Linked DNA regions of Arabidopsis thaliana. The protein of the gene in region 2 interacts with the protein of the main gene of each other region in a pairwise test. Each region holds a gene or a part of one and is shown on either strand. Other genes may lie near its edges. The genes, in order: AT2G24170 and AT3G01360.

The links.
Region 1: the proteins of AT3G01360 (region 2) and AT2G24170 interact in a protein complementation assay, tested with the Arabidopsis thaliana proteins (one large-scale study listed by BioGRID).

Annotation. Positions count from the first base shown.
Region 1 is NC_003071.7:10,273,574-10,279,320, forward strand, and holds AT2G24170 (Endomembrane protein 70 protein family), read right to left. Parts: upstream 3,694-5,747; 5' UTR 3,616-3,693; intron 3,549-3,615; 5' UTR 3,322-3,548; coding exon 3,214-3,321; intron 2,870-3,213; coding exon 2,705-2,869; intron 2,609-2,704; coding exon 2,499-2,608; intron 2,415-2,498; coding exon 2,306-2,414; intron 2,233-2,305; coding exon 2,120-2,232; intron 2,043-2,119; coding exon 734-2,042; 3' UTR 526-733; downstream 1-525.
Region 2 is NC_003074.8:135,591-140,403, forward strand, and holds AT3G01360 (plant viral-response family protein (DUF716)), read right to left. Parts: upstream 3,142-4,813; coding exon 2,182-3,141; 3' UTR 2,180-2,181; exon of another isoform or gene 2,004-2,179; intron 1,971-2,003; 3' UTR 1,871-1,970; coding exon of another isoform or gene 988-1,870; 3' UTR 904-987; downstream 1-903. Other genes in the region: AT3G01350 (Major facilitator superfamily protein), read left to right, coding at 368-903, 988-1,870; CFM2 (CRM family member 2), read left to right, coding at 3,443-4,132, 4,266-4,773.

The DNA.
Region 1 (5,747 bases), on a different chromosome or scaffold from region 2:
AATAAGATTGTTGTGGACTCATAATTACTTTCTGTGTGTATGTGTGTGCAGTGTGTGGTAAGTAATAGGTTATGACTATGGCTTCTGAGTATGCCTTTAATAAGAAAAAAGGAAAATAAAAACACTTCTGGAGTTTAGTTCTTGACTTCGAGAACAATCTATCGTGTGAACTCGTCGGACTTCTTATCCTCCTAATTCTTCATGCATCTCTGCTCAGTGATTTGTGCCACTGGTCCATATAGACTACTGATTGACTCATTCAATTCTAAATTATCCACCACATACGTTTCTTTTTGTTTTTGTTTATCTACCACATACTATCTTGACTTGACCTTGTCGATCGAGTTCATTATTTTTTATTTCATTTTTAATATTCTGAAAACTATGTTCCTAAAAACATGAGGTACGCAGTTTCATGAATTCCAAAAAAAAATTGTCGATTAGAAACAGTTATTAAAAAAATGTAAACTGTATGACCTTGCAGTAGTAACAAACTTAGTTTCTAATCTACTAAGAATGGAAGAAATAAAAACTGAGATTGCTGATAAAAGTGTGTGACAAGTTGCTGTTATTATGAGACAATTGTTGTACTCTTGAGCTCTATGTATGTTTACAATAAAATAAAAGTTTATGTCTACATATCTCAAAATCATCACAAAATTTAAAAGGAGGAAACAAAAGAACGAAAAAGAACAAGATTTAAGATACAGCTTACTAAGAAGGTGATTAAAGATCAATCGATTTTAACCGAAGAGTAGATAAGCCTGGTGAACCAAAAGCATGCGTAGAAACCAATTGCACCAGTAAAGACGAAGAATACGTATGAAACTATGAGCATGTACCCAAAGTAGAGCACTGCAGAGACGAGCTTTGTGATCTCAAGTTTGGTGTAGAAGTAAAAGACTGCGTAAAGAAAGAGGTAAACCGCGGAAGAGCCTGATGTTAAGTAAGATCTCCACCACCATTGATAGTCTTCACTACACAGCTGAAAATAACAGAGGACGACCGTGATCTCTGCGCAAGTGATGATCAAAATGATGAAGACGATGAAGAGGAAGCCGAATATGTAGTAGAACTGATGTAGCCATATTGAGGTGAGTATGAAGAAGAGCTCGATGAAGACTGCGCCAAATGGGAGAATGCCTCCAATCAAAATGGAGAAGATTGGGTTCATGTACCAGGCCTGTGTTGGGATCTGCCGCGGGATCTTGTTGGTTTTCACTGGATCTTCCGGTGCAGGTTTTCTGAAACCAATGTAGCCACCGATGAAAACAAGTGGAACAGAGATACCAAACCAGAGGACAACCAAAGCAAACATTGTACCAAATGGGACTGCACCGGATGATTTTTGTCCCCAGATTATCGCATTAAGGACAAAGAAGGCGACAAAGACGGTAGCGGGAAACATGAATGCGGTTTTCAGAGCGTTTCTTTTCCATTCGGTTCCTCTTAACGTCTTGTAGAGGCGTGAAGACGCGTATCCTGCCAATAGTCCCATGAAAACCCAAAGCAAAAGCATAGCCGTCATAAGACCACCACGGTTTGAAGGAGATAAAAAGCCAAGACAAGCAAAGATCATGGTGACAAGAATCATTCCAAAGCATTGAACTCCAGTGCCTGCATAAACACAAAGCAACTCCGGGTTTGTTGGCGGTCTGAAAACATCTCCGTGTACCAATTTCCAACCCGTCTCTTCGAGGGCCTCTTCATGACTCTCTAACTGATTGTAGTTGGAAATATCTCGGTAGAGTGTTCTTAGCATGATCATAGCGACCATACCAGAGAGGAAAAGAACAATCATCATAGAATTAACGATTGAGAACCAATGAATCTGATCATCAGCCATTAGAAGGTAAGTGTCCCACCTAGACGCCCATTTCACCTCACTTTCCTGGAAGTCAACATCATATGTGAAGATAATCTCGTTCCCTTCTTCAACCTCCTGAGGAGACTCAGAGTTAGTGACTGCACGCTTTGTATGCGGATCACAAGTCGTTAACCGAGCCTTTTCATTCCATTGACCTTCATATTCATGTTTGACACTGCATCGAGATAAAATCAGTAGATGTTAGTCGCTTACACAATACAGAGTCAAAGTCCTTAAATCACAAAAAGCTACCTGAACGGCTTGACTTCAAAGCCAACGATTCTTGAAGAATCGGTCTGTATATCTCTGTGATACCTAACAGTGAAGGTCAAGTGGTTGTGGATAAAATACTTCTCCTCCTTTTTCTACAAGAAAATCAAATAAATAAGAACTCTTTCCATTGAAACATATTCAGAAAAGGTGATGATGAGCTCTTACGCCAGCAAAGATTCCCTTGAGACCAACATGGAAACCATGCTGATACACTACAACATTGTCCTGATCTGGCCTTTGCACCGGAACAACTAGGGGAAGGTTGTCCAAAATCCTGCATAAGAAATCAATCTTCCTCATAAAAACAGAAGAAAAACAAAACACATTCAGTCGAAGGCGACAAAATCAATCTCCTCACATGTTAACTCGATATTCATCAGCAATCTTCTCCTTAAACGCCTTTGCGGTTTTCTTATCAAGCTTCACACGACAAACCGCAGCACACATCTGCGATTCCCTCATTTTAAACTGCAACAAAGAAACAAACAGACATTAAAAACAACTCAACAACTACCACTTAACCAAGACAGATAGAGAAAGAACCAAGAAGAAACAAGAACATACCACAAAAGGAGAGTTCTCAATTCGATCACCACGAAGAACTTCACCGAGATTCTCAGCACTATCAACAATATGTTCTGGACGACAATAAGGAAGAGAATAATAGGAATATGGAAGCTGAGTCTTTGTAGATGTCAATTTATTAACTTTCACCATCAATGCATCTCCCTGAAAAACAAAACCATAACTCCAAAGTTTGAACCTTTATAGATAATGACCATTATACATTCTTCTACTCCAAAAGCTAGATTCACACAGAAACAAGTCTAAACAATGGCTAATACATATAGACTAATGAAACATTCTCTTTAAACACAACACTCAGTGGTAACTGAAGATCAAAATTACCCAAATCTCATAAAACAGAGCCATAGATCCAATTTTAACAAGATTACTTGATCGATTGCGTTGGATCTAAATCAGAAAAAAATCTAGACCCAGTGTGAATCAAAGCTCTAAGAAGAAGCTGCATTTGTGAAATACAGATACAGAGATGATTTTATGTGGCTGACCATTTGGAAATCTTGTGGAGCGACGCCGGGAAGGTAAAATCCATGGATATGGACATTGAGGGAGAAGAATAAGACAAGGGTGAAGATCAAAATCCGAACTTTCGCCATGGATTTGCTCGATTTCGTCTTCTTCTTCGGAGAGTGAAATTTCTTAAATGAAGGAGAAGAGAGTGGGAAGAAACATGGCAATTGGACGATTTATGGCCGTTGGATATTTTAGTATCTCGTTTGATTTAATCAACGGTTGAGATTTCCTAAGTTGGAGCTGTCGGTGATTCTTCTTCTTAAGGTAATGAAATATCAAAGTCAACACTTTTTAAGGTAAAAAAATAAAACTTTGAATAGACAATAATTAAAATCAAAGTCCAATTTACGAGAAATCTAATTTTTAAATAAGGAAACAATTTTTTTTTTTTTTTGTTAATTTAAGTAGATTAGATGAAACTTGTAAATGTAGCAAAGTAGAAATGAGTTAGTGTGGAGGATACGAAATAATTATGAAAAAGTATTCAAAGAATAAAAGAAAAAAATGGATTTAAATCAATTAGAAGACAAAATCCATTTGGTAAATGAAGGTGACCTCTTAACTATTCTAGCAGATTATGAAACCTTACACACACCAGCAACCACCTTGACATATAATTAAATGTACATTACCAATAAATACATGTAAGAAAAAAGCACACACACACACAATACAAATCCGCATTAGATAAATGTAAGTCTTTCTTTTACAGACTGTTTTCAAATTGAAAACGGACGGTTTTCTTCTGGAGATAACTAGTCCGGTATAAATGTAAGCATATAATAGTAATCGCGGAAACTAACTTCTATTATTTCTATTCTATTATAAAGTAAAAGCAGTCGTTGGCAACACAACATTAGAATAATTTGAAAAGATAAGAAAAATTAACATAGCATTTGATATGGGCCAACTCTTTGATGATATTGGGATCGGGAACATGGACTTTGGTATTCTGAGGTATAATATAGTTTTCACGAGTAATGTAGGCATTGTCGTGTGCACCACCTCCGAAATAAATGATTACAAAAGTTCAGTATTATAAAAAATGGTCTAGGCGGTCGTTTACACTCTATCTAGGCACTAGACTCTCAGGTAACGCCTAAATAATCGCTTCGATTGTCTAAAATAACATAAATTGCCATATTTTCTATGTTCACTTGTCCATTTATTATCAATTTTAGGGTCTAAATGATTGTTGTGGTTAAGGTGGACAAATTCGTTTGTGTATTTGACCACGTTTTATTTACCATTTCACAAATTACTTCTGTGTGGATTTAAAAAAGAAAACTGATGCGGATCAACCACATACCGTTTTTACATATAAATAGAGTTGGTTGCGACGGTTTGTTGTCTACTTTAAAAATAGTTCGGATTAAACCATTGACGGATTTATCCATCTTAACTGCCGTAACCATTCAAACTTGTGAGATGAGAGAAGTAACAATCAAAAATACCAATTGATTGCTCGTATCTTACTAGAATTACTGACAAATTCTTCTATAAATGCAACGTTTCTCAAAGAATCTCAAGGTTAAGCTTATTATTGACACTTATATAAACTTCTATTTATTTATTTATTTAAGTAAATAATCAAAATTGCATGAGCATGTTGGCTATAAGAGAAAAATTGCATGAGAATGGCATTCTTATAGATTGATGAAATTCGATTGGTCGTGATTGGATATTCTATACAAGAAAAAAATATTGATACGCTGAGGTAGTCTAAATAGATTATAGTGTTTCATAGAACTAAGAAGGAATTATCGAAAGCAGTCTAATACTTTTTTAATCTTTAAATCATTTGAGGTTCGGGGTTCACGACGAGTGCAACGAACATGAAGACAGACTTTTTTTCTTCAATTTCATCAAACTTTTTTTTTCTTTCTGTTTTATATGCTTCTGCTTCATCACCCTTTTTTCTTTGGGTTTTAAATGTTTCTGGTTCATTCACCTTTTTTCTATGTGGCTTAGGTGCTCCTATTTCATCTCTTAGTTTTCTTTCCAGTTTTTTAGGTCCTTTTGGTTCATTGTTAGCTTGTTGTCGTTTAGATTTAGCATTTTTCAACTTAATGACTTTCTGATATTCCAGATTATTAGATCTAAAATACTCGGAGTCAAACGAATCATATCAGTAACAAAATACAAAACTAGTCACTACTTGCGAATCAATCAAACAAAAATAAAACATCTAATCATGGATGTGTATTCACAAATAACTTACCATTACAAGTGTGTAGTTTACAAATGCTCTGTTTTGACTTAAAATCAAAAGTTTCGACGATTTAATTTTTTTTGATGTGGTCATAAAAAGAAACTTGAAGAAATAGAGAATGATTCTTCAGATTTCTTGTTAAGTGATCGTGAAATACTTTGATTAGGGTTTTTGAACTGCACAAAAAATTCTAACAGAGACAAAAGGATTGAAATCCTCTATGAAAAAACATTATGTTTTAAAAGAGTTGATTTTTCTTTTACGGGCAACCCACAATCTGCGACGAGTTTATCCACA
Region 2 (4,813 bases):
TAAACTGATAATGGGTATTAACTTGTGCAAGAAAAACTGGTTTAGACGATATATCTAAGGAAGTTATAAGTTAGGTGTTGGGTCATTTTCCGAGTTAAGGAATAGATCAAGTAGACCATCTTAAAGAGTCTTTAAGAAATTAGATACTTGGTCACCGTCCGATTAGAAATTTTCTTTTACCACTAATGGAGTTTATATGGATCCCTTTAATAGTTGGGTTGATAATGGAATTTTGATTAGAATGTTGATATAGTGCTTATAATGGGTCTTATCGGATCTTATAGGCGAAAAAGCTAGCTTAGTGGAAACTCGAAAATCTTCTTTTGTTAGTAGTTTTTAATATATTATTTCTGTTTTTTCTTTGAAGGGACTAGTGGGATTGACATGGACGGCATTTGCTGGGTCACGTTCAGCTACTAAGACTATCTCTTCTTACTTTCTCTACTCTTCACTATGTCTTGTCTCAATCGGTTTAGGCGTCTTAAACCCTTCTCTTCAAGCCTTTGGTGCAGACCAACTCGACCACGACCTCGATAAGAATTTCGATCTTTCCTCGGGTGATCAAAAGGACGCGAAAGCTACCCGAAAGACTCAGTTTTTCCAATTGTGGTACTTTGGCGTCTGCACCGGCAGCCTTATGGGTGTCACAGTCATGGCTTATATTCAAGACACTTTTGGTTGGGTTCTCGGTTTCGCCATTCCTGGTATCGTGATATTCCTGTCGATTTTGGTGTTCATGTCGGGTTGTGGAATTTATGTTTATGCTCCGGGCGCCCGTCTGAAGAAGAAAACAACTACTACACCTTTTGAGAAGATTCTTAAATTCATTAAAGGGAGAGTAGTGAAGCAGAGAAGCATATATACACTTGCAGATGAGAAAGATTTGGATGCTATGGAGCTTGAGTAAGTTCGGAAAAACCACGATATCTCATGAAACTAATTAGTCTTTTAAGTTTTTTAGCGACTAATGATTACCTGTTTATGTAGGCTAGAGGAGAGGCCTCTCTGTAAATGTGAGACCGAAGACATTGAGACTCCTTCAACAACCTCCAAAGGATTGGAAGATGACGAGAGCTCGAAAACGGTTTTCTCTGGAATTGATAATGTTAAGTTAGTGATTCGCCTTTTCCCCATATGGATGATGCTTCTCATGTTCGCGGTTATCTTCCAGCTACCAGCAACCTTTTTCACCAAACAAGGTGTGACTATGAAGAGAAACATTGGGTCCAACTTCAAAATCCCACCTGCAACCCTGCAAAGCACGATCACATTATCAATCATCCTGCTTATGCCATTATATGATAAGATTTTGATACCTATTACCAAGAGAATCAAGAAAAACGGTACAGGTATCTCTGTGATGGAGAGAATGGGAGTCGGAATGTTTCTATCCATCATTGCCATTGTTATTGCGGCAATAGTCGAAAGGAAAAGACTAGCCATAAGCCAAAAGATGAAGACTTTACCTGATTATGATCCAGAAACCGTCCCACTGAGCATCTTCTGGCTGCTGCCTCAGTACATCCTCTTGGGAATCTCAGATATATTCACAGTCGTTGGGATGCAAGAGTTTTTCTACAGTGAGGTTCCTGTAAGAATGAGAACAATGGGATTTGCTCTCTACACAAGTGTTTTTGGTGTTGGAAGCTTTGTGAGCGCCGCACTGATCTCAATTGTCGAGGCTTACTCGAGCTCAACAGGTGACCGACAAAACTGGTTTGCAGATGATATGTCGGAAGCTCGGCTTGACAAATACTACTGGCTTCTTGCTCTTACAAGTACAATAAGCTTTGTAGTCTACATATTTCTATGCAAGTTTTTCAAGAGTAGCAGTGATCAAGGCGATGAAAAAGAAGAAGCCCCTAAATGAAAGAAGAAAAACTTTGATTCCTTTGACACAGTCGACTTAGATAACCGTTTGCCATAAGATTCCACGAATGATCTAACTGTAGTAGTAGCTTTAGAACTAACTAGCAAACCAAAAGAGATAGACAACTGTAAGATTTTTATTCATAAGAAACAGTATCTTATAATATCAAATGCAAAAGATTCAACATTATTATTATCTCGTGTGTTTGATTACATATCATCATTAATCCTCCCATTGACCAACAACATTTCTAAAATGGACAGATTCAAAACAGACAAAAAAAAAAAAGTCTGAAACTTTGATTTATACCTTTAATCATGTGAGCTGTTTCCATTGAGACCAACTTCTTTAGCTACGTTGCTCTCTTCTCGAACCTCGTCTTCTTCATCAGAGTCAAGTGTGAAAGTACTTAAATTCTCCAACTCAGCTCCGAGAGGTCGATATTTAGAATGATCTTGACGGAGATAACCATTCTTGTTAGCAATGACAGAGAACAAACCAGTAGCCACAACTACCATTAGAGCCAAATGACAGTTAAATTGAAGAGTAGCTATAGCTTTTGCTCGGTGATAATCACCGTGTCCTTTGCACTTGATCGTGAAATTGCCTCTGCTCTTCTCGTGAAACGTACAGTTATTAGTGATCAAACCGGTAAAAAACGATACACCCATTTGCAGAAACCATGTTCCTTGCAGAATCAGACCGATCCCACGACCTAATTTCGCAAACCGATGCGTGCTAGAGTCGGATTTGAGCTCAAAAACCGTGGAGAAGACGCAGATGGCAATGGGCACGAGCATGAGATCGTAATAACGATTCTCGATTCCAGAAACATCTTTCTTTTGCAGGTAGAACATTAAGAACTCCTCAATGAAGCCAAAGAGAAGCAATAAAGTTGTAATCGAAGACGGAAGTGCAACAAAGACAGCGTTTTTGGAGTTGACCAGATATGTTAGAATGGCGTAATATAGGAATAGTACTGCCACTGCCACGATCTGTAACTGGATCATTGACCCGACCCGATCGCGAGATCCGATTGAGCTGAAGAAGGAGAAAAACGAGTTCGCAATAAACAGAGACGAAAGCAAAGCTACGGGGATGGAAGATGATCCAACAGATTTTGGCGGCGAAGCTCTGATCTGAGCCATAGGGGAAGATGAATCAGCAGTACCAGAAGATGAATTCGGATCCAGGTTCGATGAGTCCAGTGACTCCCACGCGCCGATTACTGCAAATCCACCGCCGGCGACGGCGTAACTTAATATACCCATGACTCCAATCTTCACAATCTCTGCGAATCAGGTTATACTTCTTTCGAGGAAATTTGGATTTTTCCGCCATTAAAGCTTAACAGAATCGAGCTTCTGATCTGATAAACCGGAAAGATCCGACCCGACCCGAATAACCCAAAATGGGATAGGCTAGTAGCCCAATAACTCAATATGGGCCTACTGGGGTCTTCAAATAGTTCATGTTTAAATATTCTAACCATCACGTGACAATCATGTGACCTCTATGGATATGCTGCTGCTGCATATAGCTCCGCTTGCGTAATCCAGTTTGCTTGGAGAAATGTTGCTTCCACTGTTTCACCAGCAACCATTGATACTTGCCAAAACCTTTCCCGATCGAATTTTCCCGCCATTCCTTGTTCCCAACACCCTAGTTTCGCGACGCAATGTCAGTCGAGCGAACTCCGGCATCTTCTGTAGTTCTGCTTCCGGTCGAAAGACTCTTCCCCAATCGGCTATCCAGAGAATCGCTGAGAAGCTTCGTAGCCTTGGATTCGTGGAAGAGAAGCATGATTCACCGACTAGGAGAATCACGGGAGAAGAATCTGGTAAGAATTCCCCAGGAGAGATATTCGTTCCGTTGCCTAAGCAGCTTCCGATTCACCGGGTCGGGCACACGATTGACACAAGCTGGAGCACGCCTAGTTACCCGGTTCCGAAGCCCGGGTCGGGTACTGCCATTTCAAGGTACCATGAGTTGAAGAGAGTGTGGAAGAAGGAAACGGAGATGGAGAGGAAGAAGGAGGAGAAGGTTCCGTCGTTGGCGGAATTGACATTGCCGCCGGCGGAGCTGAGGCGGTTGAGGACGGTGGGGATTAGGTTGACGAAGAAGCTGAAGATTGGCAAGGCTGGGATTACGGAAGGGATTGTGAATGGGATTCACGAGAGATGGAGGACGACGGAGGTTGTGAAGATTTTCTGCGAAGATATTTCCAGAATGAACATGAAACGGACCCATGACGTCTTGGAGGTTTGTTTGCCTCTCTACTTTTGATTTCATGATAGGGATTTGATAGTAACATTTGACTCTCAATGAAAGATCTATGAACATGTCAACAAATGGCACAGACGGAAATTCATACTTGTCCTGGTTGATTTTACAGACAAAAACTGGAGGCTTAGTCATTTGGAGGTCTGGAAGCAAAATATTGTTGTATAGAGGGGTAAATTATCAGTACCCTTATTTTGTATCTGATCGGGATTTGGCACATGAAGCTGCTTCAGGAGCATCATCTATGGATCAAGGAGTGGTTGATAGTAGAGAGAAACAGAGTATTGCAGAATCTTCTGCCCCGAGTATTACTAATAAAATGGTTAAACCGATGTTGACGCAAGGCGTTGGTTCTCCGGATAAGGTTAGGTTTCAATTACCCGGGGAAGTACAGCTTGTAGAAGAAGCAGACCGTTTGTTGGAAGGATTGGGTCCAAGATTTACTGACTGGTGGGCATATGATCCCCTTCCCGTAGATGGTGATCTTCTGCCAGCCGTAGTACCTGACTACAGGAGACCATTTCGCCTTCTTCCATATGGCGTCAGTCCAAAACTAACTGATGATGAAATGACCACAATAAGGAGACTTGGTAGACCACTCCCTTGTCATTTTGCTTTAGGTAAGCTTGGTTTCACCTGATTTTAGCTTCATTTAGACAC